Mus musculus: one gene and its partners. The protein of the gene in region 2 purifies or fractionates together with the protein of the main gene of each other region. This does not show direct contact. Links are inferred from orthologs where the notes say so. Each region holds a gene or a part of one and is shown on either strand. Other genes may lie near its edges.

Evidence for each region.
Region 1: the proteins of Actr3b (region 2) and Arpc5 purify together in Homo sapiens (affinity purification with mass spectrometry; 5 studies listed by BioGRID and IntAct, counting the BioPlex papers as one, with this or other methods). This does not show direct contact. The link is inferred for Mus musculus from reciprocal best matches to the Homo sapiens genes ACTR3B and ARPC5.
Region 3: the proteins of Actr3b (region 2) and Arpc3 purify together in Homo sapiens (affinity purification with mass spectrometry; 6 studies listed by BioGRID and IntAct, counting the BioPlex papers as one, with this or other methods). This does not show direct contact. The link is inferred for Mus musculus from reciprocal best matches to the Homo sapiens genes ACTR3B and ARPC3.

Annotation. Positions count from the first base shown.
Region 1 is NC_000067.6:152,765,842-152,776,308, reverse strand, and holds Arpc5 (actin-related protein 2/3 complex subunit 5), read right to left. Parts: upstream 9,768-10,467; 5' UTR 9,585-9,767; coding exon 9,442-9,584; intron 7,449-9,441; coding exon 7,376-7,448; intron 4,946-7,375; coding exon 4,769-4,945; intron 2,050-4,768; coding exon 1,987-2,049; 3' UTR 729-1,986; downstream 1-728. UniProt on the Homo sapiens protein: Component of the Arp2/3 complex, a multiprotein complex that mediates actin polymerization upon stimulation by nucleation-promoting factor (NPF).
Region 2 is NC_000071.6:25,754,794-25,765,966, reverse strand, and holds the start of Actr3b (actin-related protein 3B), read right to left. Parts: upstream 5,995-11,173; 5' UTR 5,883-5,994; coding exon 5,839-5,882; intron 1-5,838. UniProt on the Homo sapiens protein: Plays a role in the organization of the actin cytoskeleton.
Region 3 is NC_000071.6:122,391,178-122,401,875, forward strand, and holds the start of Arpc3 (actin-related protein 2/3 complex subunit 3), read left to right. Parts: upstream 1-700; 5' UTR 701-814; coding exon 815-820; intron 821-1,361; exon of another isoform or gene 1,362-2,134; intron 2,135-5,639; coding exon 5,640-5,739; intron 5,740-10,469; coding exon 10,470-10,546; intron 10,547-10,698. UniProt on the Homo sapiens protein: Component of the Arp2/3 complex, a multiprotein complex that mediates actin polymerization upon stimulation by nucleation-promoting factor (NPF).

The DNA of each region.
Region 1 (10,467 bases), on a different chromosome or scaffold from region 2:
GAAAGACACCTGACAGTGACCTCAGGCTCCACATACACCAGCTCCCACATGGCCGACATGGAAGCACTTGTGTGCCAAAGCACCTGGGTGGTCTTAGTTACCACGACCCACAGACACACTTGTTGAGCCCACTGTCTCCAGGAGGCACCCACCTTGATTCAGTTCCTGGGCTGTGCTGCTTGGCCATTTTCACCATCCACTTAGCAGAGCCCAGGCTGAAAGACCTTACTATATCCATTCCTGTGATCTAAACTATGGATCCCCATTTGTCCCGGGACTTTAGGGAACAGTGTAAGCATGCTCCCTCTTGTTTCTAAGGTGGTTGCTGTGCTAAACTGCTTGACGACTTCCAATAGGAACCACTTAGCTTCACTTAAGCCACGGTCCTAACCCGAGGAAAGCAGGAATCAGTCAGGGGCAGTTGAAAAACAGAGTTGCTGAGCACGCAGGCGCGAGAAACAGGTCTGAGGTGTAACAAGGGGAGCTTGGAAGCTGGGAGTGCCTTTGACAGCTACAGGAATTTGGTCCTCTAGGTCACTGGTCCGTCCTGCTAAGACCCAGAGGGATAGAGTCACACCAAGGCCTCAGCAGTGCTCTGGCATCCTTAGTGGCTCTTCTCCCTACCTGCTCTCATCACGTGGCTTCATACTCTTCCACACAGACAGCTACACTGAATGCCCTTCTCCTTAACTAACTGGAGAGTTACAAGTATTCAATTAAGAAAAAAATTATTCAACACTGACATTTTATTTTCTGAAGTTTATCATAATTTTACAAAACAGAACAAAACAAAAAGAGCAGGTATCAAAAACAGCAGTTTATAGAGTTTCTGCGCTGGTTCTCACCTCAGTCAGTGACTCTGGAGTTGGCATCTTAGGGAAAGACAAGCAGGCTGATTCCCTCTCGGCCACGCACATTCAGGTGGTTGGTTTCGGAACTACTTTGTAATAACTTTTTACAAGCACCGGTCATTTTTTGAGAATCAATTTGGTTTGTCCAACGAAGTAAACACTTTTTTTCTTTTACTATGTGGCATTTTTCTTTCTTAAAAACACTGAGCTGAAACACAGACTGTGTCTTTGGATCAGAACCAAATCTTCTGAGATCCCCATTACCTGAAGAACACTGAAGACGTCCTCGGGAAATCATGGGAAATGTTCCAGTGAACACTTGTGTAATGGCTAAGGCAGCTACCTTATTTCTGATGAAAGTATTTCATCCAGAGGCTGCTGGAGGCCTGTCTCTGACTTGGGACTGTTTCCCCAGGCAGCCTTATTACCAGAAGGAAATGGGATGTTTGTGCCAAAGAGGCGCTTATATTGTGTAAATACATTTATATAGAGCAAGACTCCTTGCTCCGGACCCTGGGTCACCACAAAGAGATTGAGAGGCCATGAAAGTTGGATGCTAACAGGAAGTAGCACACTTACACTTATAGCATCATCTGGAGGCAAGCGGAAAGAAGGCTGGAAACTGGTAGTAGGGCTCACCCACTACTTGCCCTGGAAACACATTTTGCTTAAATAAGGGAAGTGTGGTCCAGTTTTGCAATGTTAATAGCTGCCAGTCTCTCATTTTTAAAAATAAAGATCACTTCCTGACCAGCAATGAGTTAGGAAACTGGCCTCAACTTTGATCACATCTCTCAGTATTGGTTAAAAATAAAGTAAAACCCTTAAACCAGGCAACAGAGTTAGAAATTGCACAATCAAACTTGAATATAAATTACAGAATGTGATACATATTATTGACATGGTTATGAAAGGGTCAAACATCCCCACTGAGACAAAATTTTCTCCACATTATTTCAATTTTCATTAAAGGAAACTGATATGTAATTTTCTTCTTTACAGATATGAAAAAGGAAGCAAGAAGGCAAAGCTGAGAGAAACAGATGCTACCCACAGGGCAGCGGTGCCATTTGGTTGTTTTGGTCTTTATACCAGCAACTCCCACTTCTGTGAACGGTGTCCAGTTCCAGCTGGACTACACGGTTTTCCTTGCAGTCAAAACTCGAACAATGGACCCCACTCCTCCAGCAGCAAGGGCCTAAAACAAACCAAATACACAGAAGAGGTCAAAGGGAAGTCAGTCTAAGGTTAGGCAGAACCCCGAACTCATTAACTTGGTAAGTTCTTCCTGAGCATCCTCTATGGCCCAGGCCGGTCTCAGCATAAAGCTGATGACAGTCTTACTACTAGGACTTAACACATAACAAAGACCAGCCTCTCAGGCTCCAGCCCCTGTGAACTTACTTCCAAACAGACGCTAGTCACTCTTCTAGTACACCTTGTCTAAAGAATGTTTAGGATGTCTGTAGCACAATGTTTCTAACTAAAACGTTCAAATATAAACCCAGGACATTCGCCATCTCCCTCCCTCACTGAGGTTGGGAAGAACCTGAGGCTGGGACCAGTTACCCCAACTTCCACTCAGTTTGCAGATTTCCCCCCATGGTAAGAAGGTATTACTTAAGAGCTAAGAGCTGATCTCTAACTTGGAATCTCTGACTTGAATACCTGGGAGTCATGATTAAATATTAGCAGTTGGAAATTTTGGTGTACTTATTTGGTTAACAGTTATACAAGAAGAATATTTCAGTATTGTGTATGAAGTGCTGTGTGCTATCTTCGAGTTCTACAAAAGCAGAGTAAGGGCATATGCCTAGCCGGACAGCAAGAGATGTCAGGGAAGCTGACAGCCAGATACCAAAAGCCAGTGTGGAGGTGTGAGGGTGGGGTGCACTCAGGGAAAGGCTGGTACTGCTGAGGCCTAAGGAAGAGTGAAATAAATGGGTCGTCAATGAATGACAAGATACCTTTGGATTTTAGATCACTTTCCAGCAGTTGGGTAGAAAACAGAATGGTGCAAATCAGTTAGGACACTATAGCAGTCACTCTGAGATGCCGCAAAGTGTGCATTAGAGACCTACTGGTACAGATGCACTTGAGGAGTACTCAGAAAGTCAACCCCGGAGAGATCTGGAAAAACCAGACAACATATGTGCTGCTCTCCTCACCAAAGTGAGTTTCTCCTTCTAGTACTGAATCTGGGTGTTGGTGGTGCACGTCTTTAATCCCAGCACCCCACGAGACAAAGGCAATGGCTCTGAGTTCAAGGCCAAGCCTGGTCTACAGAGTGAATTCCAGGACAGCCAAGATACACACAGAGCCCCTGTCTTGAAAAACTACCCACCTCTGTCAAAGAGAAATAAATGAAATGTGAGCAAGAATAGAGAGAGCCTGCAAATAGAGTCCAAATAAGATGACCATACAAATTACTCCACAAGTTCCGTTCAGCGAGAGGGCGCACTGTACTTAGGACGGATACGATACCGGAATACTGCAAGGAAGGCTTTCACAAATAGCTCTTTGGTAGTGTATGTAGATAAAGTGATTTAACTAAGGCTCAACAACAAAATTTCCTTTTAGTTTTATCTTATACACATGTTTTCACTCCGACTTAAGACAAGGGTTTTTAAAAAGAACTGATTTTCAGGGTCTGAAGGATGGCTCAGCACATCAAAAGTGCTAACTCACAGAGTTACATTCCCACAATGTACACAAAAAAAATCATAGGCAAATTGAATGGTTAACACCTGGAATCCCAGCGTTTCTATGGAGAGATGTGGCTATGTTATTGTTAGTATTTTATCAGTACAAGAGCTAGGTATGAAAGCTTGCTTTGTGTACATGTATGTGGGTACAATGTACGTGAATGTGTGTGTGTGTAGGTAGTCAGTTCTTTCTGCCCATTATGTGGGCCTCAGAGAATGAGTCAAGTTGTCAAGTTTGCTGGCACGAAATTCTAACCAACTGAGTCACCTGGTTCATCTATCTACTAAATTCTTATACAGAACTAAAAATAATTTCCTTTTCTCTTCCTCCCTGAGACCAGCCTCCCAGTACAGCATATAATTCATTATGTAGACCAGCTTGGCCTGGGATACCTCTCTCTAGAGACATACACTGCCATACATGCCGATAACAATTTTTGAAATACAAAACTACAGTGCATGAGATCAACCAAGAATGCTAGGCAAATACTCCTTCTCCATGGCCTTTGGCAACTTATTATAACTTTCGATCCCTTTGAGCTTGCCTATTTCAGACTATTTCACACAAGTAGAAATATAAATACTTCTTTTTTGTTTTAAAGATTTATTTATTATTATATATAAGTACACTGTAGCTGTCTTCAGTGTCACCAGAAGAGGGTGTCAGATCTCATTACGGATGGTTGTGAGCCATCATGTAGTTGCTGGGATTTATCTATATTGTAGAATGTACAAAAACTCCATTCCCTTCCATGGATGAGTAACACCCCACTGTTTCTAGGTACCATATATTAATCTTTATCTTGGGTTATTTCTATCCTTTTTTTTTTTTGGTTTTTTTGAGACAGGGTTTCTCTGTATAACCCTGGCTGTCCTGGAACTCACTCTGTAGACCAGGCAGGCCTCGAACTCAGAAATCCGCCTGCCTCTGCCAAGTGCTGGGATTAAAGGTGGATGCCACCACTGCCCAGCTATTTCTATCCTTTGATTAATGTAAAAGAATTCATATTTCAAGTACATAATCACTTATGTACTAAGTATATGCAAATAAATATGCAGTGCAAAAAGGAATCCTTTAAGATCAAGGCTGGTAAGCAAATGTAAACTTTTCATTTTAGTCAAGGTGTACAGTCAAGTCACTTCTCAGGTGACAGAGGTGGCATCTTCCATTTTAAAGGAGCCAGCTACAGGGATGTGTAAATTGTAACTTACCTTTTCATGCCACTGGAGCAACACAGCACTGCTGTTGTCAGATGGGCTCTCAAAGCCTTTATAAATATACTTCATTAGGAGGTCCACACCGTTCTTGTCCAGAGACTGCACTGCCTTTTCAATATCATTAGCTTTAAAAGAGATAAGCACCTTCAAGACGATGCTGCCTGCACGGTCCTGAGGGCAAATGTGGAACAGAATATTTAGACATGTGTATGCTGGGCACAAAACCTTAGGAAGGCCCTGCTAGAGTGACATCTCAAGACTGACGTGGAGGATGTGAAAGAAGACTCCTTGGGAACATGGCCAGCGATTAGATGAAGGAAGAACAAGTGCTGTGAGCGTGGGTTTCAGAGCGTTCAGAGTGTTCCAAAGATTCTGGTGTGACAGAGCTGTGTGGTGGCAGAAGCAGGAGCAAAAGAGAGAAGACAGGAGAGGACAGGCCATGTGAGGGCCAGCGGGCCACTGTAATGGCTCAGGCTTTTACTGGGAAACGACACGGTGGAGAAATTCAAGAGCAGTGACCCAATCTGTTTCCCATTTTAAGACTGTCTGGAGGACAGCAGTGAGGGCAGGAGTAAGACAAAAGCCCACTGGGGTGATTCCAACAACACTGGCTGGTTCTGGCTGGCATGTGAGTCGAGGTGGTAAGAAGGGAACCCCCTCTCTTTGTTGGTTTGCTGTTTTAGAGACCGGGTTCCTCCTTGTAGCTGTGGCTGTCCTGGAGGTTACTCTGCAGAACAGGATGGTCTGGAGCCCACAGACCCCCGCCTGCTTCTGCCTCCTGAGCTGTGGGATTAAGGGTGTGCGCCCACGTCCGTGCGCGCCCACGTCCAGCTCAGGAACACATTTTTTTTGATAGAACTGAAGGCAGAACTGGGGACTGATAGACTGATGGACTGATGGGAAAATTTAACAATTTATTATAACATTTAAATTTACTTCTTGGTCTTAAAAACTCCTAACCAAAGAAAAAAACTGATTTATGTAATTCTATCTTGTTTGATCTTTCAAGAGTGGTTATTTTCTTAAAAGATCCCTTTTAAAACCATGTAAAACTTTTTAAACTTTCCTACTTACAGACGTTAGATTTACCTATACTTATCTCTGAACTTCTCCTCTGGGAGAGCCTGTTCCAGAAGCACAGGTGTCCCCTTAGGCATTGTCTAAGCAGAGGGGACACGGAAGCCACCCTCTCAGCTGTTCACTGCTCCTTCTGTTCAACACAGTGGGGTCTTCGGAGTTCCTATGGGCGGGGTTTTACATAATGTTTGTACCGCCAACGTTCTCTTCAGTTTAAAGACTGACTGACATTTCCCTATATATCTTTGCATCTAGAGCTATAACCTCCTATCCACAAGCTGCCAAAAAACAAAATCAACAAACAAACAAACAAAACCACATAAAATCAGAAGGGGTAAAATTGAAAATTTAATGATGTTCCTAACAACTTTTAAGGAGCAAAGAAAAAAAATTCCCCAATATAAAGTTTTGTGGCTGCAATAATTATTATGTTTTTACATATTACTCTTCAATTAAGGTTCTTAGGTTCCTGAGATGTAGGCTTTTACAGGGCTTTGCTTAGCCTGCATTTTAAACAATAAACAACTAAGCAGTTCCCTAAGAATCAGTGGAGGGCTGATGTAGGGATGTAAGCTACAAAGCTCTTCTGAGAGATTTGGCAATGCTTTGTGTATCAAAAGTCTTTAAAAAATGTCATTTTTGTGCTAGCATTTCTCTTCTGGGAATTTTATTGACATAAATAATTAAGATTTAAAATGATCAATTTTAGCAGGAAAAACTAGAAAATCTAACATGCAATAACAGGGATCAGTTGCATATAAGATGTTACATACTAGTGTATAGCAGTTAAATGCCACAGAAATAATCTATTGCTAAGGAAAGAAGATCATGTACATGACTACACAGCTGGAGTGTAAGATTCTATTTATTTTTTAAAAGAGCACAAACCCTTGTAGAAACTCCTTAGGTGTGCAGCGATACCATATAAGGCAGTGACTGAGACCCAAGGAATAGCATGGAGATCACCTTTTTAAGCTTGCATGCTTTGTTTTCTATAATATTTACAAAATTAGGAAAAACTATAAGACCCAAGGAAGTAGGACAGAGATCACCTTTTTAAGGTCACGCATGCTTTGTTTTCTATAATATTTAATATTTACAAAATTAGGAAATCAAGAAGCAGCTGTGTGTGTTTGGCAAATTTATTTTTCAAGCCCATTTAAATCCAACCTGAGTGGATTCCTCCTGAAGCACACGCAGAAGTGATGGCTCTATCCTTTAAATTTACTGCACTCCACACGGCACTCTCCTAACTCTACATTTCAGGGCTATTTTTTTCATGACATTTTTACTTGTCACAAGCTCCCTTTAAAGCTGGACGTGGTGGCATATACCTTTAATCCCAGTGGAGGCAGGAGATCTCCTGAGTTTCAGACCAGGTTATAGACTGCGGTTCAGTCTCAAAAGTCACACTGTAAACTCTTGTGTCAAGGACAGGAAATAGGTACAATGTTGACTGTGGGGCATCAAAGGACTTTGCTAATAGTGAAACAGAAGAGATTAATGCTGTAGTCTGAAACTCACCTTCACTGCCTGGCTCTTTGTGTTAATAGGGGGGTTTTTCAGAGCAGCCTGGAGAGCAGCTGTCATGTTTCCTGTAACGAAGGTTAAGGGTGGAACAGAAAAGGATGGCCCCTGCTTTACAGGAATATTGGTTTTTGACTTGACTTTCTGCACAGTAACAAAAGTTACTATGGTCATTATGTTCGATATTAGAAACTGCATGGGTGTGTTTCCCACATGTCAACCAATGGTAAAAATACTGGAATTAAACAATAGATTTAAAAAAAAAAAGCAAAGACTGTTTTGACCTCAGTTCTATCAGTCAAATAGATTACACTTTCCAGTGAGATACACGCAATTGTCTAGATGGGTATTCAAGAAATCTTAAGACTATGTGTTAAGAATTATTAGGTCACCAAATGATGCAGTTTACCAACAAAGTATACCACTTGTCTGTGTGACTCTTGCTGGAAAACAACCCTAGACTTTATACTGAAACTACACTGTGTATTAACTGAAATGCTGGCTGATTATTCTGGCAATCAGAATGGAAGAATAGCTTAATATGAACAGGGCTCTGGATGATGTAGTAACCCGCACGACCTGTAGGTGGCAGCTTACTTTATTTCCTACAGGTTATTCAAACTGGGCTGGACCATCCATACCTACTCAGTCTCTGAAAGCACTGGTGAGTTAGCAAGCAGGGGAAACGGAAGGCCAATCAGACTGTCAGAACAGACAGTCATTTCCCTAAAAGGAGAAACAGAGTCACTGGTTCCTCCATCTGTAGTACCCGACCAATCTGAAGTCTCTCCTAGTTAGAACCAGAGACAATATCTTTATATTTTAAAATGGATTGACAAAAAGGTAGACTGAATTGATAATGAACACAGCAGTAGGAATCACCAGAAATTACCTAAAATACATTAGTTTAATAAAATATCATATATCCACCATAAAGACTAAAAAAAAAAAAAAAAAAAAAAAAAAAAAAAAACCCAAACAAACAAAGAATAAGCTCACCATTTCTGTGCAAAGGGTCTAATAAAAAATTATCTACAGTAGGTAATAAACTACTGTCAAGCCTGCATGGTCTTTTAAAGAAAAAAAAAACCCAAGTATTTTAACAAATAATCAAATTAGTAACAACTGTGAAAGTTATGGTAATGAAAGTTAAACCTATACTGCACATATATGTACGTTTGATGCTGTGGTTACCACTGTTTTTGCTCACTTTCTTCATTATAATCTAGTAGAAAATTGATGAGGGGAGAGCTGTATGAACAGACTTAATGAATACGATTTTTCTAAAGCTCCAGTTTGGATTTTTGTAACATTCTATTTTTCTAAGGGATCGATGCAAATGAATTTCGAGGTTATGAATATTCAGATATGCAAACCAAGGAACCAGGAACTGACAGCCATGTTTTAACTAGAAGGGAAACAATTTCAGAAAAACAATGTTGATTTATAGAACCGACTCATTCTCTGCTTTATTCACTGGGGTTCATCTTATATTATTCCCAGGGATTCTCTGCATGCATTCGCTATCCCTTTTTTAGTGGCCTTTTCTTAGCAGGTGAAAGGTTCCAAGCTTTAACTGGGAATTTTGGAGAAGAAAACTCCCTTCGGCTCGTTCATGAATTATAATGCCACCTTGCCAAAGCCCTTCTCTCTTAATAAACAATGCTGCCGATGAAATAGCCCCGGGGCTGAATGTACCGAGGGCCTCGATTTGCGAACCGCTCCATCTCTCCTGGCTAGGGATAAACTATCCCCGCTCCGCCAACCACACACACCGGACAGGAAAGCAAGACTCCAAGCGGGACGCCCGTGTCCCCACCGGGCAGAGACTGGCTCAGGTGCCCACTAGGACACCAGCGGTGCCCCGGGGAGGGCGCGGCCGCTTAGGACCGCGCACCTGAGGAATCGGGGCGCCGCCGGTAAGTTCGCCGGCGCGGCCGCGGGGTACAGGCGGCCTGCTGGCCCCGGGAGCTCCTGTCCTCCGTCCCCACCTAGAGCCGGGCACAGCCGGTCGCGTGGCCCCGCGTCCCCACAACCCCCGGCCGCCGCGAGCGTAAGGATATTGCCGTAGGCACGAGTCCACCTCGCCCTCGTCGGGCCCGGCCTGGCCATCGCCGCCGTCCTCCTCGTCCACGAACTTGTTCTCGTCATATTCGTCCACGTCCACCTTCCGGAAGCGGGCCGACGACACCGTGTTCTTCGACATCCCGGATCGCGACGCGACGCTGGCCTGCCCCTCCGCGGTGCCTCTCCTTTAGCGAGCCCAGCCCGGTCCGACTCACTTCCCTCTTCCGCTCTGGGGCGTCGCCGGCAGCCGCGGCTTGCAAGCTTCTGGGCCTGCGCGCTAGCGGGCTCGGCCTCCTCCTCTGCTTGCAGCCATCCTTCAGCCCCCGCTCCGCCCCCGCGTCCCCCGGGAGCGCGCGTCGGCAGGGGAGCGCGCGGGACGCACCGCGCACGCGCGGGCCCGCTGCAGGAAAGGGGCGGGGCTGGAGAAGGAGGCGGGGGCGGCGGGTCGACAGAAAGCTGGCAGAGGCGGCGCGGAGACGCGATTGGTCGCCGGGGAGCATCACGTGATGCCCGGGACGTTCCCATAGAAACGCTTTTCTGCGGTCCTGCCTTGCGGGGGGTCTTGGGCTGGAGGCTATGGGCACCTCGGGAGCGTGGCCTGGAGTGCTGCTGCCGCCGCCGCTGTCGGTGCCAGCCGCTGGTTGTTGGGGTCCGGTGTGAAGTGTGGGTGACCGGACTCGCGCGTGGGGTGCGATGGACTGGCTGCAGAACCTAGTCCCCTGCAGTCTGCAGGAGTATGAGGCAAAGTGATGCCCAGCTCGGAACTAGTGATCGGAGCCCTCCATTCGGACCGTGCGCCGCCGGGGGCTGCCTTCCCGAGCTGAGAGCCCCTTCCCCGGCTTGGACTCTTGGCACGCTGTCGGTGGGAGGTCCCCAAGGACGGAATCGAAAAGGTCACTTCTTACCTGTCAGTGCTGTGTGACAGCATCGCGACCGGACCTGCAGAATCTGAACTAGGTATTCTCTCCATCTGGAGGGAGGGAAAAGACGCTTGGGCCAGGTAGTGAAATTGGGGCAAACTT
Region 2 (11,173 bases):
AACATAGGGGAGGAGGGAGAGGGCTAACATAGGGGAGGAGGGAGAGGGCTAACATAGGGGAGGAGGGGAGGGCTAACATAGGGGAGGAGGGAGAGGGCTAACATAGGGGAGGAGGGGGAGGGCTAACATAGGGGAGGAGGGAGAGGGCTGACATAGGGGAGGAGGGGGAGGGCTAACATAGGGGAGGAGGGAGAGGGCTAACATAGGGGAGGAGGGAGAGGGCTAACATAGGGGAGGAGGGAGAGGGCTAACATAGGGGAGGAGGGGAGGGCTAACATAGGGGAGGAGGGGAGGGCTAACATAGGGGAGGAGGGGAGGGCTAACATAGGGGAGGAGGGAGAGGTCCAACCCAGAACTAATGATGTATGAAAATGCCCTAAGAAAATCTAATACTTGATAAATAAATTTTAAAATGAGCTGGGTATGGCAGCATTTGCCTTATGATCTCAGCACTGGGATCGAGTGGCAGGTGGATCTTTATGAGTTACAGAGAAAGCCAGGCTATATAGTGAGTTCCACATCAGCTAGGTGTACATAATGAAATCCTGTCTCAAAAAATATACAAAAGTTGGGGCTGGAGAAATGGCTCATTGGTTAAGAGCACTAGCTGCTCTACCAGAGGATCAGACTTCAGTTCTCAGCAGCCACATGGAGGCTAACAAGCATCTGTAACTGGTTCCAGAGAAGCCATCCCCCTCCTCTGATCGCCACAGCACGCACATGGTGCACACACACAGAGGCAGACAAAACACCTGCACACATAATAAAAAGAACCAAATCTTTTTTAAAATTAAAAAAATAATTTCAAAGGAGTTTGAGCAAAGGTAGCTCACATGAGAAGATGAAGCTACTCCCAGGAGCCCTAAGTTACTGAATGAAAATCTGAGGGCCAGGGGTAAGCTAGCTCCCCATGTGTTGGTCAGGAAGGCCCCTGAGCTTCACTAAGCAATACAGGCAATCACAGCATGCTGGATATCCGCCAGAGCGAAGGCCTTCCTGCTGGAGACATCACAGGTCTTGTCTGTGTCAGACACTGGTGCCCACAGAAGTTTCTTTTGTTACAGTGGTCTCCAGTCGCTTGGACAGAGCCTGTCCAAATTCTTAGAATAAATGACTACTAAATGACCAACCACAACTGGGAATCTATGTTGCCCGCTCCACGGCTCAGGGAACAAGTCAGAAACAGAAGTGGACATAATGTTGGGGGTGGGGGGCTGGAGAGCTAGTGATTTAGGGCACTGACTGCTTTTCCAGAGGACCTGAGTTCAATTCCCAGCAACCACATGATGGCTCACAACCATCTGTAATGAGATCTGATGACCTTTTCTAGTGTCTGAAGACAGCAACAGTGTACTTACATCAAAAAATAAATAAATCTTTTTTTAAAAAAAAAATTAAGAGTGAGCCAGCAGGGAATGGAATGGTGCTGAGTCTGTCTTTGAATTCCAGGCATGGCATAGCAGTGGTACCCTTGAGCTCATACCACCTATGATTCCCTGCACAAGAACTACACAGAACTGGACCAGTTGCCTTCTTCTCCTGGAAGGAACGGGTTCAGCAGCCCACTCCTCTGAGGATTTCTACAGAATTAGTGGGGAGGGCCACTTTCTTTAGTGGTGTAGCCACTAGTAAGGTGTCCGTGCTTCAACCTTTATGGAACTCACTGCCCCCTCCACCACCACAGACGCATGCACGGAGAAGTAGGGCTATTTGAAAAGACGAAGGAGTTAGCAGGAGGGAGTGAGAAGGGGACAAGAGAGGTGTGCCACATTTTGGAAGCTGAACTCTTGATTCTCTGGTGCTGAGCCTAGCCTTTAATGGCTGAGCTACCTCCTCAGTCCTGAAATGCATTCTATACACATGTGAAAATGTCATCATAGAACTGATGGTTATGTATAGTTAATACATACTAATTTTAAAAATGTTTTAAGTTGGCCTTTGGTGTCACACACCTTTAATCTGAGCACTTGGGAGGCAGAGGCAGGAGGATCTCTGAGTTCTGGGCCAGCCTGGTCTAAAGAGTGAGTTCTAAGACAGCCAAATAGCCAAAGCTATTGAGAAACCCTGCTCCTAAGGTCAAAGTCTGACATTACTAGAGCACCCTGAGCTTGATGCAAATGGTAGTCTTCCTTTGTTAGCCCGGCTTCCTCTTCACTGGAGGATCCTGGATCCCACAGCTAAGGACTGCCATGAAGACTGCACCTAAGATTCCTGGAATGCCTCCCCATGTTGATGAGGCATCTCAGAACCTTAAGCCTTTGTGGCCTTTGCCTGGATACTCTTATCCTCTTCCCCAAACCTATATAACCCTTGGTTCTCCTGAATAAAGTGTATGGTTACAAACCCACTCCAAATAAATATGCACAAGCTGAGACTGTCTCAAAGAGCTGGTTCATTGAAGACCATCAGAGAAGGCCTTGGCCGAAGAGAGTTATGGCACTAGGATCCCTGAAGAAAGGAGGCCTTCTCTCTCCCAACTCCCACCACTAGCTCTGAGCCAACCAGGATCCTGCCCCATCTGGACTCTGCTTCATCTTTCCAGCCCAGTGTGCAGCGGGTCTGGACACCCAGAGAGAGAGAGAGGCCTCAGACCCACAAGGGCTACACAAAAAAACCCTGTCTCCACAAACAAACAAACAAACAAACACACTTTTAAAGGAATGAGGTAGATGCTGTGCTAGGCTTTTTGATGAAATGCACAAGGGAAGAGCAACAGATTCTATGGCAACCCTTACAAAATTGCACAACCTCTATCTACCAGAAACACCAGACAGACAAAATCGAGGGGCAATATATATATATATTGTTATATCCTTGTTATATATATAACTATCAAAAGGATATATCTTGAAAGACAAAAAAAAAAAAAAAAGACTAAGGAACTCTTCCAGAAGACATGAGCTATAAATAACATAGCGACCAGGCATGGGAGGACATGCAATAGTCAAGAGGCTGAAGCAGGGGTTACATAACAGGACCTCACTCCATCCCCTTAAAAACATGACCACCAAATATAATGAGGCAATGCTAGACAGGATTAGACTCCAAAAAAGACAAGAAACGAAACTGCTCACAAGTGCAGATGGCAGACAGCACAGCACTGCAGCATCCATGTTAACATCTCTGACTTGAATAACTGGTCTGTGATCATGTGAATCCCTGCTCTCGCTCAGAAGGCAGACACTGACCTGTAAGAGGGAGGTGCCGAGAACCTTCTTTTAAGCAGCTCAGAAAAGTAAGAGCGGCACATTAAGGAGTCCAGAGGACACAGTGTGCAAAGCTGCTGAAACTGGAGGGATGCAGCCTGGAGTTTGTTCTCTCCCGGTTCTCAGGGACCTGGAATTGCTTCAAAGTCAGTTTGACTATGTAAAACTACTTTAAACATTTGGGTGAGACGTGAGACTGAATTGGTGGCGTTTTCTCTGGGAGCTCGGCAGCCTATTCATCCTTTAAAAAGCTGAAACTTAATTGTGGGTCTCACAGATACCTTTGTCTGTTTCTATCTTGTCCCCAGCATACTTGTGTACACTCATCTGGTCTCGGGGTTCATCGGATTTGAGGTCACAAAAGAAATGTATTTACTATAAAACACAGGCCAGATGAGCATGTGGGCACACAACTGCAATCCTAATGCTTAGGAGGCTGAGGCAGGAGGATTTCTCCAAGTTCAGTACAAGCTTGGGTTATACAACAAGAAGACTCTATTTAAGAGGGGGTGGGTATCAGAGAGAGAAAGACAGACAGTGAGACAGGGAAGCAGAGAGAGGGCACACTGACAGACAAGACTGGAACTCAGGGTGCAATTCAGTGGTAGAGGCTCCACTTAACAAGATCCCCAGGTTCTACGTCTACTACCACCACCAACACAAAACAAAACAAAAACCTGCCCATCTCATCAGTAGTGCCCACGTGATGAGTCTCCCAAGTGTATTCTGTTCCTCAATCCTGGCTATTTTTAGCTGCACTGTTCTATTCTAAGGTAAAACTCAGTCTAAAATGAGATCTCCCAAGTCTATTATGTTCCTCAGTCCTTGTTATTTTTAGCTGCATTTTACATTTAGTTCTATTCTGAGGTAAAACTCAATCCAAAACAAGAAATGCAAGAATCACTAATACATGGAAGCTGGAACGCTTAGGCTATGCAGTCATCTTCTGCTCACACACTGAACACTGGGGACTCGTGATAGCCACAGGGGCTTCAGTGGCAGAAAACACCCACAGGAAACCCCAGGTCCCTGTCACTGAGTCCAGAGCCTCTGACAGCCTAAAGATGCTAGCCTGAAGCACAGCTTTGGGCCATGACGATCTACTGAAGGTGAAGGTGACATCAGTCACTGACCCCAAAAGGTCAAGACTGAGCACTCTTTAGATCATTATAGCAAGAACAATGGATACGGTGTCAGCTTACTAATAAGAAATACAGCACAGATGGCCCAGGGAGTGCTGCTTTACTGTTAACACTGCGCAGAGAGAGCTTCAAGTCTCAGCAGTTTAGGCAACACAAAGCCAAAGTTCTCACATGCAGACATTAACATAAAAACAATGTTTACATATTGCCCTCATTGCTGACACTTCCAGACTGAAGGGAGTGGCAGATAGAGTGAGACAGTAAGGGGAGCCAACACATGGGGGAATGGTCCACAAGAGCCATACTGATTTGAGCAAGTCTAGGGAAGTCAGCAACTTCTCAAATACAGGGCAACAAAACTTCTCTATAACGTTTATTTCCAAAAGAAAAATTAGCAGAAATAGAACATGTTTTCCAGTCTGTAACCACTGCTGGTTCCGGAGCAACAAAAGGAAAGACACATCAGTAGGAGATGGACTGTAGCAAATTAGAAGACACCCCCACAAGGTTGTCAAGGAAACCAAACCAAGTATATTTTTCTACAGGAAAGAATTGCAAGAGAACATGCCACAGACTATTCGGTGACAAAGGATTACCATCCCTTGAAAAACATTTTAAGAGGCTAAATTTATTTGCAAGCTATTTATGAAGTACTTTGTCAGCAATGCCAGCAGGTACTCCCAAACTCCCAGGTTGGAGGTTTGGCTGCCACCTTCCTAAAATTAGCTAAGCCTGACAGCATAAGCCATTCTTAAGGTCTCTTCTGAAAAATTAACATCTTCAAAAAAGAAAAGAGTTATCTACTTCCCCAAAAAGGAGAGGGCTGTTTTTTTTTCAAAATGTTAGTCTTTTTTTAATGTGTGTGTGTGTGTGTGTGTGTGTGTGTGTGTGTGTGTGTGTGTTTTAAGAGCAAAGATAAGTGTATGCAAACCAAAGCAGGAGCTGGGCTAGGCTGTGCCATTTCAGAGTGGAAAAGAGCAGAGTGGGAAAGGGGACTGGGTGTCAAGTTGACATGGCACGTGTAAACATCTCCACGAGTAGGTGGTTGGTACATCAGTAGGGAAAGGTGACACGCGCGCGCGCGTGAGTGCACAGGATGAGGACAGGTGACAAGCACCCCGGGGATGGGGGGGAGAGGAACTACTCTGAGCTCTCAGGTGCAAGCCCTGCAGAGAAAGTATCTGCAGCAACATCCCGGCAAGGTGCAGCCCACCCGGTAACCCCGCAGCCTCATGCCCTCAGCACCCCATCTTCTCAGAGCCACATCCCTTAACTCTCTAAGCCCTCAGATTGAGCTCCGTCCCCCAGCTCCCACCCCACCTAAGCTCTATCCCTCAAACTCCCCAACCCCTCAGACTGAGCTCTGTCCCTCAGCACACCATCCCTCCGTGCACCATCCCTCCGCGCTCCTCCTGCCGTCTGACCCCGCGGGGAAATGGCTCCAGGACGCCCAGCGAAGCGTGAGTGGGCGCGTGGGGCGCGGCTCTTACCCGGTGCCGCAGTCAACCACGCAGGGAGGCAGCGAGCCCGCCATGCTCGGCCACGAGGCGCTCCGTCCCCACCAGCCCCAGCGTGCCCCTGGGTGCCCAGTGCCAAGGTGCCGGGTCGCAGGCAGCGCCGCTCCCCACCCAGGAGCTGCCGGGAGCCCAGAGGCTCTGCCTCGTGACGTCACTCTACAGTTGGCCAATCGGGGACGCGCACGCTCCGCCCTCTTGTCAGCCATCCTTAGTGCTGGCAGCCCGGCGTTTTAGCCTATGCATCTATCCTGCAGTGGAAGAGATTGGAGTCTATTTTTAACATGCATAAGGTGACTATGACCCCATTTGCGAGGCCTGAATTCTTTCTCTTCTCTCCTTTTTACAAATTGCAATTTTGTTTTGTTATGTTTTGTTTTCGAAACAGGGTTTCTCTGTGTAGCCCATACTGCCCTGGAACTCTTTCGGTAGGTAGTTCAGGCTAGCCCCACTTGCCTCTGCCTCCCTAGTGCTGGGATCAAAGGTGTGCCCCACCACTGCCGGCTTATCTAGCTGCAATTTTTTTTAAAGATTATTGGCTGTGTGTCTATCTGTCGCTATGTCTGCTGGTGTGTGCATGTATGTAAGAGCAGGTGCTCTTGGAAGCCAGAGGCTTAGGATCCCATGCAGCTGAAGTTATAGACAGCTGTGAATGGGCACCAGGAATCTGAATTGGGTCTCCCGGAAGAGCAGCAAGTGCTCTTCGCTGAGCCATCTCTCCAGCCCCTTTCTCCTCTTAATTCTCACTTCAATGTTCACTTTATTCTCTACCCCAACAATCTCTTGATTTTATTTCTAACACTTAAAGCTAGTTTGGGTACTTATTAGTAGATGTTCACCTCTCCTGAATTATAGGTTCTCCTAGGGCAGGGCTTCATGCTTAACACATTTGGTGCTCCGATAAAAATCACCTGAATGTTGAACGAATAAATAACCTTCACTGTAGAAAAATACTTATGACTTTCTATGATAGAGCACTGCATAATGTATCCTGGGAGAAAATCAACATATGCATAATTAGGCTTAAGGAATAAATGACCTTAGTCAATGCCACATCAATATTACTAGGAAATATTTTCTAATATCAAAGATAGGGTGATTATCCAGCATCATTGTGGAAAGGAGACTTAAGAAGGAAAACACCTACCTACTGGAAACCCCACTTGCACCCTAAATGTTAGCCTCTAAAGTTCTTGACTGTGATGCCAAAGGAACTTTCTAGAGATGTATTAATTCACTTGGTCTTTACTGGGACTTAAAGCATTGTGGATTTTCCACAGGAGAAGAATTAGATTAGTTGACCATTCTTGGGTAATTCTTTTTTTTTTTAAGATTTATTTATTTATTATATGTAAGTACACTGTAGCTGTCTTCAGACACACCAGAAGAAGGTGTCAGATCTCATTACGGGTGGTTGTGAGCCACCATGTGGTTGCTGGGATTTGAACTCGGGACCTTTGGAAAAGCAGTCAGTGCTCATACTGGTTGAGCCATCTTGCCAGCCCTTGGGTAATTCTTTCTTTCTTTCTTTTTTCCTGCATGCAAGGGAGCAAATAATCCTAAACCTAAAACAATATTCAGGGGAACTAGAGAGAGAAACAGAAGACAGATAAAGAGGATGGAAGCTCCCAAATGGGACCCAGAACTAGAAGCAAGATATCTTTCCTTCCGTGCATGTTACCAATGCCCTGCCCATTTCGATTGTCTGTCAGTCGGTCTGTTTTTGAAGCCTGGACCAAAGCAACAAAGACCCCACTACAGGCTGTTGGCAATGCCCTGTACTTTAGCATCATTTACTTAATGTACACTTATTATATTGGTCATGCTTTAACAGTGTGAGTGATGATTAATAATGATGTCAAGTCAACAGGACCTAGAACACCTAGAAGCAAACATGCCTGTGAGGGAGTTTCCACATTGTGTTAATTGAGGTGGAAGACCCACCCTAAATGTGGTTGTGGCCCCAGGGAAAATAGGGGAGAGGAGGTTGGCTGAGAAGGGGCACTCATCTTTGCTGACTGCAAGCACAGTGTGGCCAGGGGTCCCATACCTCTTTTGCCATAGCAAGGATGCCATGCTCAAACTGCAAGCCAATTAACACTTCCTTGATATTGCCTTTGCCAGGTGTTTTGTTAAAGCAACAAAAGTAAAATACAAACAGTAAGCAAGTTGTTCACAGGATCTGGCCCTAGAACAGTGGTTCTCAAACATTTCTAATGCTGTGACCCTTTAATACAGATCCTCATCTTGCCACGCCCCCAACCATAAAATCAATTCATTGCTACTTCATAGCTGTAGTGTTGCCACTGTTGTAAATCCTAATATAAACATCTGATATGCAGGACATCTGATATGTGGCCCCCACCAAAGGGGTCTCAACCCACAGTTGAGAACTGCTGCCCTAGACTCTAGTCTGCCACCAGTGATCAGGCGATTGTAGTACAAATGCTAGGTGCAGAAATGCAAGATGTCCAGAAAGCCATTCGAGCACCCCTGACCTCGACTTTTGGATCAAGTAGATGTTTTCCAAAGCCATGAAGTCTAAACTGAAACCCAGAGTATAGATAGAAGAGGAATATGAGCTGTGTGTACTTCTGAGAGAGGAAACCCGGAAAGCCAGGATAACCCCAGAGCCCAAATGTCCTGTTCACTCTACAAGGAGGAAGCGTTACAGAAACCTGAAGCTGCCCAGTACACAGTGTGCCTTTCCATGGACTGTCCACTCTGCATAGGACTTACTGGGACTGATGGCCGCTCCAGTCACTGATAGGAAAAAGATTTTCAGACTTCAGCAATTTCCTCTAGACACCACTAGCCCTGAAGATTATCAAAGATGTTTTTGTGCTATGATTGTGCCTGTTTTCCCCTCACTTGGAAGGCTTGTGAGAAAGGATAAAACATCCAAAGCCATCCTAAGCTACAGGGTTAGGCCCTCTCTCAAAAAAAAATAATCCAAAAATAAAATAGATGTGGACAGCCAGTAGAACACAAACGTATCTAGACACCTTAGAATGAGCAAATTATGTTATCTCATTTTGTAACTGAGACCCATCAGCAATTCTGTGGAATCCTCATGAACCTAGGCATTCTGCCCCAGCAGACCCTGCACCCTGGCCTTGGTCCTCAGGCATCGCCTCATCACTACTCATCACTACTGAAATTCCACAATGCAAAACTGTAATGATAAATCCCCTTCCAAGAGGGATAGAGACCAGACTCTGAAGAAGCAATGTTCCCATCTGTTTCCCCTTTTGTTTCACTAGCCCAATGGACCTCAAACTTCCTAACGATATGACCCTTTAATACAGTTCCTGGTGCTATGGTGACCCCAAACCATGACTGTCGCCCCACCTCAGCCGGCAAGGAAGACACAACACGGTCGGATTCTTCTCAACAGCCTTTATTGCAGGATCGCCTCGATGCTGCTACGGGGACCCAGGGAAGTCTGCTTATATGCACCCCAGCACAGGGAGAGGCTTCGTGGCCCCCTGGGATTGGTCAGTTGGCCGGCACCTAATTTGCATGCACCTGCTCGGGAGGGGTTGGTGCCAGACTCGGGCTTACACCTGCGCTGATGTTGTTTATGACAACGGCACACCGGAAACCGGCGCCATCTTAGAGTTGGCTTCCTACACATGACATTCTTTTCATTGCTACTTCAGAACTGTAATTTTGCTACTGTTATGAATTGTAATGTTTTCTGAAGGTCTTAGGTGATCCCTGTGAAAGAGTCATTCAACCCCAAAAGGCGTCACAACATACAGGTTGAGAACCACTGCACTGACCAATGCCTTTTTTTCTAGTGAATGGGCCAAAAGAAATTACCACAAATGGAGTGGCTTAATACATATACTTACATCATTCAAGAAGCCAATGTCAAGTGTAGATGGGGCTGTGTTCTCTAAAGACTGTAGGGGGTTCTGTTCTGTGCCTTTCACCCACTACCAGGAGCTGCTACACTCCTGGATGCCTTGGCTTGGGCATGTATCACTCTCATCTCTGCCTGCATCATCTACGTTTTCTTCTCTCTCTCTCTCTCTGTCTCTCTCTCTCTCTTTGTAGATGTCCATGCACATGTATGTACATGCATATAGAGGCCACATTTGGATCAACCTTAGGTATCATTCCTCAGATTCCATCCACCTTTTTTTTTCTTGAGGCAGGGTTTTCTCACTGGCCTATAATTCCTCAGGTAGGCTAGGCTGGCTAGCCAGTGCGCCCTAGTAATCTGCCTGTCATCACCTCCTAGCACTGAGATTATAGGTGCACACCATGCATAAATTTTTAACATGGGGTTCTAGGACTCAAAGTACAAGAGCCTGTGCTTGCACAGCAAGTGTTTCCTGTACTCGCTCAGCCATCTCCCAGGCCCTGATCATGTGTCTCCCCTTCTAAGGAAACTAGCTGTGTTGAATTAATTACTGCACATATGCATATATGTTCCAAATAAGATCACATTTACAGACACCAAAGTTAAGACTACAGCATGTCTCTTTAGGAGATGCTGATCGACCCATAATACCAGCTATGCCAAAAGTAGGCATCAGTTCTATGATGATTGTCAAAGGTAACCACTCTGTTTAGAGATGAGCCTCATGACCTTTGAAGTCTGTGGTAGCCAATACCTGCCTAGAGTGTGCTTTGATTTGCAAGAAAAGGGGATAGCTGTGTCATAAAACACACTGTGCTGAAGTGCAAAGGAAGGCAGCTACCTGCAAGCTTAGAAGACACACCATCTTACATTGAAAGCTCCAGGAATCCTGTGCCATTGTCTCTGCTTTGATCATGCCTCGGGCAAAACACCCACATTCTGGAAGAAGTAAAGCATAATTGTATCACCAAGGAGGTATGTGCTCTCAGACACAGGCAAAACTCCTGCTACTAAATGCATGTTAACCTAGGATGTGTTTCCCTGTGAGTTCTTGACCTGCCTACCTCATTTGTAGCCTGAACTAAACTGGTAATGAGAGAAATGTTTGAAGTCGCTTTCATTTGCAGAAAAGGTATCTCTGTTTTATGCTTCTCCCTGCCAATGACTTTGCACTGACAGGAGTGGTGCATGGCCTCTGTGGTAGATAAGATGTCACACCTTACCTACCATCCTGCACACCATCCTGAGTGCTGAATCAGCCCAGCACTAGTCTCTCAAATGAGCTATTGATAAACACCATCCAGTGACATGTATATATGCATATGAAGACAGCAAGAATAAAATAACCAATCTTAGAAATGGTCTAACTTAGCCCTTGAGTAGCTGAATAATATAATTCTACTTCCTCTGCTTAACTAGCTGTGCAGGGGCCAAGAAAGA
Region 3 (10,698 bases), about 97 Mb from region 2:
AGAAAAATAAATAAAAATAACAGGAGTGATGGGCACATATCTGTAATTCCTGAACACAAGTGGGTGCAGATCAGTTCATATTCATTTATATGTATATGCCAGCCTGGACTTCATGCGACTCTTAGCAAAGAAAAAATTGAAAAATAAAAAATATTGGCCGCCAAGACGGCTCAGGGTGTAGGTGTTTCTGAAGACTGTGTTGGTTCCGAGAGTATCACGGTGGAAAGTGAGAACTGATGTCCCCCACCTTGCATTGTGGTAAAAGTACAAAACTAAGCCAGGTGTGGTGGCGCACGCCTTTAATCCCGGCACTCGGGAGGCAGAGGCAGGCGGATTTCTGAGTTAGAGGCCAGCCTGGTCTACAGAGTGAGTTCCAGGACAGCCAGGGCTACACAGAGAAACCCTGTCTCGAAAAACCAAAAAAAAAAAAAAAAAAGTAAAAAACTAGACATAGCAGAAGGGTAAATCAGGCGACTGAGTGGTACTGGATTTGAAGCTGAAGCCGGGAAATGAGAAAAAAAACCCAAAAAACAAAACCGGGAGCTGATTATTAACCACTTGCGAGGGAGTCTTCAATTTCAAAATCCAGCCTTTTATTCTGAACGTGCTTTATGCATGCGCCACGGTCATCGCCTCACGCTGACGCGCCCCCTGGCGTCACTTGCGGTCAGCGCAGCCGGAGCAAGTCACCGGAAGTGCGTTTATTCCTTCCGCCCGCCTCTTCCGGCTTACTTCCGCCCACTCCACCCAGGCTCGGTCGTCGGAAACGCTTTCTGAGTTCGGCTTCTCTGGATCGAATCCGGACACCGTCAAGATGCCGGTAAGCATTCGAGCCCCAGGGGCGGGGAGCCGAGCGGGGCGAGGGTCCGAGGGGTGGCAGGAGATCTGTGTCATAAGGCCGGGGAGAGAGGAAGCGTCCGCCCTGATCTCCAGCCTTTGCCTCCAACACCGGCTCGCCTGCCCCGCCGCTTCCCCCCTAACCCTGCCGTGTTCCCAGATCCCACCCTAGAGCCTCGAACCTAAGAACGATGGCTGGCTTTTAATTTATTTTTAAGTCTAAGGTCCAGCTTCTCCTTTTTTTTTTTTTTTTTTTTAAATTTCCCCCTTGTCATTTCCACTTCCTCCTCCACCCCAGGGAGTGGGATCGGCCTGCTACCTAGTCACCTGTCAGACCTCACTTCCCTGATGGACCCCTTCCTCCGTCTCCCTGCTCTGACTCCCACCCGACTCCCTGACCACCACCGAGCCAGCGCTGGTTTCCTTTTTCGTGTGCATCCGAGTGGGAGGAAATTGATGCCGATTGCAGCTTAGCGAAGGGACGCTTGAATAGCGTGCACCCACACTGAACCAGTGTTACTGACCTCTCGCTGTGAAGCCAGCATTGTTGACAGCAGCGACTAAGGGCCACTCAAGGAGCTCACAGTTTAACGGGTAGACAGTAACCATGCAAATGCACATAGGAAGTAGTTTCCTATCTTAACAACTGCTGTGACGAAAACAGATAGATGGCAGTTAGCCTACCCCTATCGCTCAGTTATCGCTCATCCCAATACCGAGGCAGGAGGATGGCAAAGTTCAGGCCAATGTGGACTATGTAGTGAGTTCTAGGCCATCCTGGGCTACAGAACTGCAAAGCCTGTCTCCCAAGAAATGGGGGAAGAAAAAAAAAAAAAAAGAGGCTTGCATGCAGGAGGTGGGGTCACAAGGTACAGCAGCTCATGCCTGTGACCCCAGCTCTGGGGAGGCAAAGGACAGGCAGATCTTCTGGCTTATTGGCCAGCCAGCCCAGCCAAAAATAAGCAAGTTCTGGGTTCAATGAAAGACGATGTCACAGGAAATAAATATATATATAGAGAGAGATAGTAGGGGCTGAGGAGGTGTCTCAGTGGTACAAATGAGAGGACCTGAGTCTGGATGCTTAGCACCCAAGTAAAACAGAAGGGGCGGGGGGAGGGCATGCAAAGCGTGTCTGCAGTTTCGGAGCTGGGGATGTGTAGAGTTCCCTGAGGCTCCTTGTCTCAAAAATAAAGTGGAAAGCAGTTAAGAAACAGACCTATGGCCTCCACCTGTGGATATGAGCATACATACCTACATGCACACATATGCACACACGTGAACATGAACACTACACACACACACACACACACACACACACACATGTACACATGCATGGTCATGTGCAAAATAAAACTAAAAACAAAAACCAGTACCTGGTGACAGGGATTGGGAGAACAGGGGACCCGGGGATGTGGGCAAGAGGCTGGCATAAATAAGGCTTATTTATAATGAGTAGGAGAGCAAGCCTAACTTTGAACAGTGTGCATGTGTTTGAGTAGCAGTGGGGAATTGACCCCAGGGCCTCATGGCATGCTACATAGATGCTCTACCACTGAGCAGTATTCCCCCATCTTTTTTACTTTTGAAAAGGGGTCTTATAAAATTGCCCAGACTGGCCTTGTAGTTGTGATCCTCCTGCCTCAGCCTCCTAGGTAGCCAGGATGACAAGCCCGTCCGGCATCACCGTGTTTGGCTTTGGAAGATTCATGATTCCTATAGTTAGTATATGTGAAGACCCAGAGTTACTGTCCAAATGAGCCCCCGCATCTCCGGATGACACTGTCTTCCAGAGGTCTTGAGTTCAGTTACTAGCACCCACAGGGCAATTTACTACCTATAATCGGATCTGATGCCCTCTTCTAGTATGTAGGCATACAGTTTTCTAAAAATGATGTGGCATGAAAGTTTTTAGTAGGTGGGGCAGATTTATAGAATATTGGCTTTTGAAGGGTTGTTTACCATTAATGGAGGGAAATTCCCAGCATTCTCAAACTACCCTTTAAGAGCACTGGAGTTTTGTCCCCAGCATCCACATCCAGCAGGTGCCAGCTGCCTATAAGTCCAGCTCCAGGGACCCCAGCACCATCTGCTGGACTCTGTGGGTACTGCATACACACAGAAATACCCGTCCACAGATATAGTGCACACACATAATATATTTTTTGTTTTGTTTTGTTTTTGTTTTTTTGAGACAGGGTTTCTCTGTGTAGCCCTGGCTGTCCAGGAACTCACTCTGTAGACCAGGCTGGCCTCGAACTCAGAAATCCACCTGCCTCTGCCTCCGAGTGCTGGGATTAAAGGCATGCGCCACCACGCCCGGCTATAAGATATTTTTTAATCTTTAAAAAAAAAATCACGCTGAGCAGTTGGTAGCATGCACATTTAATCTCAGCACTTGGGAGGCAGAGGCAGGCAGATTTCTGAGTTCGAAATCATAGGACCAGCATTTGAGATTGTTCATCCACACAGTTCCCTCTCCTTTAGCTCATACGCACTCACCAAAGGTGTGGTGTATCTTGCTCATTTATAAGTTTAGAAGCAGACTGGTGGGAACTGGAGTAGAGTTGAGTTGGTAGAGCATTCGCCTGTCATGTCTGAAGCACTAGGTTTACTCGCCAGTACTGTGGTTATCTAGATCCATCATCCCAGCAATGGGAGACAGAGGCAGGAGCGTAAGAAGTTCAAAGTCATCGTCCCCTGTGAAGTAAGTGAGAGGCCAGCCTGGGCTAACCTGCATAGTAAGTGAGAGGCCAGCCTGGGCTAACCTGCATAGTAAGTGAGAGGCCAGCCTGGGCTACCTGCATAGTAAGTGAGAGGCCAGCCTGGGCTACCTGCATAGTAAGTGAGAGGCCAGCCTGGGCTACCTGTTGTGGTTGAAGGGGGTGGGGGTGGGGAAACAGGTTCCAGGAAGAATCGACCTGTGGTCATAAGGACAGGAAGTGGCAGATTTCAAAGCCAGGCCTTGGGTCCTGGTTTGCTGGAGGGTGGGAAACCTGTTTTGTGTGGTCTCTGTAGTAGAGTGTTTCAGCTTGCATCATGTCACGGAGTGCAGAACTGGAGGAAGCGCATCCTTCCATAATGCACGTCTAGCCTAAGGATGCAATCCCAGGAGGCACAGGCAGGCGGATCTTTGTAAGCTTGAGGTCAGCTTGGTCTACCTAGGGAGTCCCAGGTCAGCCAGGGCTGCTTGGAGTAGTGAGAGCCTGTCTCAAAAAGCTGACGTTGGGGGCATTCAGTCAGTGAAACACTTGCCACTCAAGCACGAGCACTTGAGTTCTGTCCCAGACTTCACGAAAGTGGCCAGATGTGGTGGCATCTGTCTATAAGCCTAGTGCTGGAGAGGCAAAGACAGGAGGATCTGTGGGGCTTGCTGGCGGCCTGTCTGTCCAGGTGGTGAGCTTCAGGTTCAATGACAGCCCCTGTCCTGAATATAAAGGTGGAGAAGCAACTGAGGAGGTCACCTGATGATGACCTCTGACATGTGCACACATGAGCACCCAGATTCATGAACACACACTCACACACACTCTCACACACGATACTAATAGGAAAAAAAAAGAACCTGGTCTCAAAAAAAAGCTCTGTGTGTGTGTGTGTGTGTGTGTGAGTGAGAGAGAGAGAGAGAGAGAGAGAGAGAGAGAGAGAGAGAGAGAGAATGAGAATATGAAGATCTAAAGAACATGGGCAGGGCCTGACGGGACAGGAGAGATGGCTCAGCAGTTAAGAGCGCTAGCTGCTCTGTCTTAGTCAGGGTTTCTATTCCTGCACAAACATCATGACCAAGAAACAGTTGGGGAGGAAAAGGTTTATTCAGCTTACTCTTCCACATTGCTGTTCATCACCAAAGAAAGTCAGGACTGGAATTCAAACAGGTCAGGAAGCAGGAGCTGATGCAGAAGCCATGGAGAGATGTTCTTTACAGGCTTGCTTCCCCTGGCTTACTCAGCCTGCTCTCTTATAAAACCAAGACTACCAGCCCAGAGATGGTCCCATCCACAAGGGGCCTTTCCCCCTTGATCACTAATTGAGAAAATGCCCCACAGCTGGATCTCATGGAGGCATTTCCCCAACTGAAGCTCCTTTCTCTGTGATAACACCAGTTGTGTCAAGTTGACACAAAACTAGCCAGTACACTGCTCTTTCAGGAAGTCCAGGTTCAACTCCCAGCACCCTGTTCCAAGGGATCCCACACCCTCACACAAACATGCATGCAGGCAAAACACCAATTACACAAAATACAAATAAATTATTTTTTAGAAAAGAATATAAATAATAAAGACAGGCATAGTGGTACTGAATAGTGAGACCCTGTCTTGACAAAACAAAACAAGAAGGAGAACATTAATAAAATGAAGTAAAATTAGTAGAAGACAGTGGTAAAGTGTAATTTTTTTATTTTTTGGTTTTTCGAGACAGGGTTCCTCTGTGTAGCACTGGCTGTCCTGGAACGCACTCTGTAGACCAGGTTGGCCTCGAACTCAGAAATCCACCTGCCTCTGCCTCCCAAGTGCTGGGATTAAAGGCGTGTACCACCATGCCCGGCTCTGATATATATATATATTTTTTTTTTATGATGGGGTTTGAGGTACTGCCTACCTCTGTTTTCCGTGTCTAGTTTAGTGTGAGCGGAGGGCTACGCTTATCCACCAGCTGACAGAACGTCTCAGAATCCACCAGTTGGTTCTCTTGAGTCAGGCGCTGGCTCCCCGTAAGCCGACGCCAGCCCTTTTCTCCCACAGTTGGTCCTCGCCTTGTCTCCTGGTGACACTTGTTTTCTCTCTTCCCTGGGCTGGCCCCTGCAGGCATACCACTCTTCTCTCATGGACCCGGACACCAAGCTCATCGGTAACATGGCCCTGTTGCCCCTCCGAAGCCAGTTCAAAGGACCCGCCCCTCGCGAGAGTAAGTCTCTGGGTTCTTTTGTTGGGTTCCAAGCAGACCTGCTGACTTGAGAGCAGGGAAGAGCTTAGCTTGAGTCACTCTTCCTTGGCTTCCTGTCACACTTGACCAGGAGCAGCCTGTTGCGCTCCACAGGAAACTGGTTCAAACTCCTCCAGGATGTTTACGTGAGCTGAAAGGAAATGTGGGCTGTGGGGCGTGGCCCCGTTGGTAGAGACATGGCTTGGCCTGCATGAGACCCCCAAGTTCCATTGAGAGCCAGGGGATGTGGTACACACCTGAAATCCTAGCACTTAGGAGGAGGCGGCCGGAAGATCTGGAGTTCAAAGTCGTTCTCAGCTAGCTCCAGGCCAACCTGGGCTACTGAAACTCTGTCTCAAAAAAAAAAAAAAAAAAGGAATTGTGTTGAATTCTGGCCACAGTCCCCACAGGCACTGTCAGTTATTTCAGACTAACTGAATGGCAGGTCCCCAGCCTTCTTCTGACAGCATTGTGTGGGCATAGGCAGTACCTCGGAGGCTGAGATAAGGAGGTGGCTGGAGTCTGGTAGTTCAAGACCTACCTAAGCAAGGGTGAAACCTGTCTCCAAAAACAAGGAAAATGAACCTTTCCCCCACCAAAGCTATGACTTCTTTGGTCACCTTTAAAAAAAAAAGTCACTTGCTTTTGATTCTGACTTGTGTGTGAGGGCCCACGGGAGCCACAGCACACAGTTAGAGGTGACACCTGGTTCTTACATGAGTCCCAAGGGTCCTAACTCCGGTGACGGAGCTCTCTCTGCAAGCGCGCTTACCCGCTGAGCCATCTCCACAGCCCTCTGTCAGATTCTCACCATACCCCAGTGTTAGACCTTTCTCGGATGTGTGAGAAGGGAATCTCTCTCTAAAACCCTGGTGGGCCTGGAGGTCAAACCACTCTAGCCTCAATTCGTGGTGCTCCTCCTGCCTGCTTCCCCAGTGAGACTCCTGAGTGCTTTGAAACAGTTTATGTCTGTGCTTGCTTTTGTTTTTCTGAATTTTATTTCTTTGCTTTCTTAGTGGTTTTTGTTGTTTGTTCCGTATTTAACTTGTTTGGTTTTGGTGGTGGCTTGTTTTGCTTTCTTTCTTTCTTTTTTTTTTTTTTAAATTTTGCTTTTAAAACAAGAACAAAAAACCAGATGGTTTAAGGAAGCCACCCGAGCTCTGTCAGCTTCTGTGTGGTTAGAGCGGCCATTCTGAGGCCATGGGGCTTCGCCTGGTGTTTCACACTTTTACAAAGGGCAGAGTTGAAAATGGAAAAAGTAGCTTTATGTCCTGGAGTCCTCGAGCCCGTTGTCTGTCCTTCCTCTCTCTGACGCCCCTGGTTCTTGGTCTTCTTTATAGATGTTATCCTGTGCACACCCTTCCACCTGCTTGCATGAGGGCGTTACAGGCTGGGATCCTCGCACGGGGGAGATCGTGCGTTCTTTTCTGTTTGGGGTTTGGATCACCTTGATGGTTGCATGTTCATCCTCTTTCCTGCTCATCTCATGATTTTGTTATCAGGGGGCTGGAGAGATGGCTCAGTGGTTTAGCACACTGGCTGCTCTCCCAGGGGGCCAGGGTTCAAGTCCCAGCACCCACATGGCAGCTTACAGCTGTCTGTAACTCCAGTTCCCGGGAATCTGACGCCCTCACGCAGACACACATGCAGCAATACACCAATGCACATAAAATAAATAAATCTCTAAAAAAGATAAAAACCCTCCTGATTTCACTTACCTTCACAGCCTAGTGATGCTCCGTTTTGTATGGAACTACATTTTCATTGTCTGTTCTTCTGTTGGTGGACAACTAGCTGGGTTCCTTGTCTTTGCTACCGAAATAAAGTAGCGATAAATGCAGATGTGTAGATAAGACTGTGGCAGGACAGGAGGCCTTGGGTATGTGCCCAGGAGTAAAATAGCTGGATCATATGGGAAGTCTATTTTTAATCATCTGAGAACCCTTCAAACTGATCTCCACAATGGCCATGTTAATTTGCACTTTGACTACCAGCCGGTCAGGCTTCCCTTTCCCCCACATCCTCTCTAACATTTGTTGTCAGGTTTTTAAAAAGCATGCTTAGTTTTTTGATTTTAATATATATATGTATGTATGTATGTATGTATGTATATATCTTAAGTTGGACAGTTGTAGGGCACACCTTTCATCCCAGCACTCAAGAGGCAGAGGCAGGGGCTGATGAATCTCTGTGAGTTTGAGGCTCCTGGTTTACAAAGTCAGTTCCAGGAAAGCCAGGGCTACACAGAGAAAACCTATTTCAAAAAATCAAAAATACAAGAGAATTTATTTTATTTTGTGTGTGTGAATGTTTGCCCGTCAGGATGTATATGTACCATATTTGTGCTTGGTGTCCACAGAAGCCAAAGAGGGCATTGGAATTCCTAAAGCTGGTGTTTCAGATGGTTGTGAGCCACAATGTAGGTGCTGGAAACTGAAACCGGGCCCTCTGAAAAGCAGTCAGTGCCCTTAACCACTGAGCCTTCTCTACAGCCTGTGACTAAAGTTAGGGTCTTGCTGTCTAGCCTTGGCTGACCGGTACACCTCCTGATAATTGATTGGCCTTGTGACTCGGGTAAGGTAGTGTCTCCGAGCAGTATAAACTTGTGTATCCCTAAGATCAGGAATGTTGAACACTTTTAAAAATAGTTCCTGGCCATTTGTATCTCTTATTTTGAAAAGAGTCTGCTCATTCACCCATTTATTGATTGGTAGCTGGTGGTCTTGTTTGTGGGGGGTTTTTGTTTTGTTTTAGTTTTTGTTGGGGGGTGTTTGTGTTTTAGACAGGGTTTCTCTGTGTAGTCCTCGCTGTCCTGGAACTCGCACTGTAGACCAGGCTGGCCCCACACCAGAGCTGCCTGCCTCTGCCTCCCGAGTGCCGGGATTAAAGCTGAATTGTGATTTCTTTGATATGTGCTCACAGCTTGGTTTCCCAGTCTAGTCTGAGAAGTTTGGGATTATACACCCTTACTAATTATTGTTTGTAGCCATCAAGACGAAGTGTCCACTCTACCCTCAGCCGCACTCCGGATCCCCCATTCCATTTCTGAGGCAATTTTTCACTGTTCCCGAAGATTTTTTTCTAACACTGACAAGTCTTGAGATGTTCCGCCAACGGCGTCATCCTTTCTGTTGTTGCAGACACAGAGCCCAGACCCTGCAAATGTCTGGCCCGAGTTCCATGCCTGGTCTCCAAGCACACAGTTACAATTCCCACCTGTGTCCCCTTCCCCTTCCCCTTCCTTTTTCTGCCAGGTTATTTGACTTGACTTCCTCTTAAATGAATTTGTTTGCAACACTGGTTGAAATGTAAGTAAATTGAGTAGATCTGGCCATTCACTGCTTCTGAGAAGAAGGAGCAGGTGGGGAAAGACAGCCTTGAGGAGACCTGCAGTACTTAAAAGTTGCTGGCCAGTGAGCCCTGTCACACGGTTACAGATAACACATTGCTCTAGAAGATACAGCCAACTCAGAATGGAGAACATCCTAGCCACCTTCAAGCTGAGTCCTCCAGGGAGAAACAGAACACGTGAGGGTGACTGTCCCTCGTCCCAGAGGGGCTGGAACTGTTGGAGCAGATGTCTGAGATAGGGTTTGTCTGTAGCATGTGGGAGGCCCTGGGTTCGAGCCTCGGCTCTAGAAAAATCCTTTCCTGCTGTGCATGTATCTTTGCGTGCCTCTGTGTGCCAAGCTCTGTGTAGGTCTCCTCCGCCGTCTCCCTTAGGTGCTCTGGAGAAGTTTCCTTTCCTTAGGGGCGGGACGCTAAGGACAGGAAGGTAGAGTTAAAGTTCTGACGCTGACGCGGCCCTCAGAGAAGCACCAGCGAGGCTGTGAGGGAGTGGTAGCCCAGGCCAAGGCTGTCATGTGGTGCTGATGCAGCCAGCTGCTGCACGTCAAACCCGGGAAGTCTGACCTTTCAAAATGAAAAAGAGAGGACAGACTGCCAAAGAGATTGTGTAACGAGATGTGCGTCTGTCACAGAGTGCTCTGGCTTCCCTCAGTTAGTGGCAACTTAGAACCTGCTGGATTTAAGCCATGGTTTTCATAAAAAGAAGGAAATGTCCCCGATGTCCCTAAATAATTTGAGCATTTCTCCTGAGATGACAGTGCGTGGGCTCGAATAAAATTATATCAACACTTGGTTACACTGTGCTCGGGCTAAAGGGAAGGCTCAGAGGTTAAGAGCACTTCCTGCTCCTCCAGAGGACCTACATTGGCCTCACAAGCACCTGTAACTCCGGCTCCAAGGGACCTGGTGCCCTCTGACCTCTGTGGGTATCTGTGCACATGTGGCATACGTACAGACACACATGTAAGGGTTTTGTTTCCTTGGGTTTTTTGAGTTGGTTTGGTTTTGGTTTTGAAGACAGGGTTTCTTTGTGAAGCTCTGGCTTTCTTTGAACTCTTGGAACTCGCCTTGTAGACCAGGGTGGTCTCCAACCAATGGATCTACCTGCCTCTTCCTCCAGAGTGCTGGGAACAAAAGTGGGTACCACCACTGCCGGAATGTGTGCTGCACGGTTCCCTGGGAGCCCAGCAGAGGGCGCTAGATCCCCAGGAACTGAGCCCAGCAGAGCACCTGCAGCGCCTTCCTTGGTTTCCTTTATCCAGGTCTCAATCTTGTGCGGTAGGCTTGGTTGCCTGTGCTCGCCGCCTCTGGGTGTGAGGTTTGCCTTTGGTAATGGTCTCTGCCTTCTCTTGTCTCCCGCTTAGCCAAAGACACGGACATTGTGGATGAAGCCATCTACTACTTCAAGGCCAATGTCTTCTTCAAGAACTATGAAATTAAGGTAACTTCCAAGGAATGCTTAGTTTTCAGAAGGGGATAAAATTCTACCTGGAAGTCAGGTTGCTGTGAGGGCTAAATGGTGAGGGTGACTGTAGGATTTGAGACGAGACCCTGAGGAGGGTGCTGTGTTATAGTTTCTCTTCCTTTCTTGCT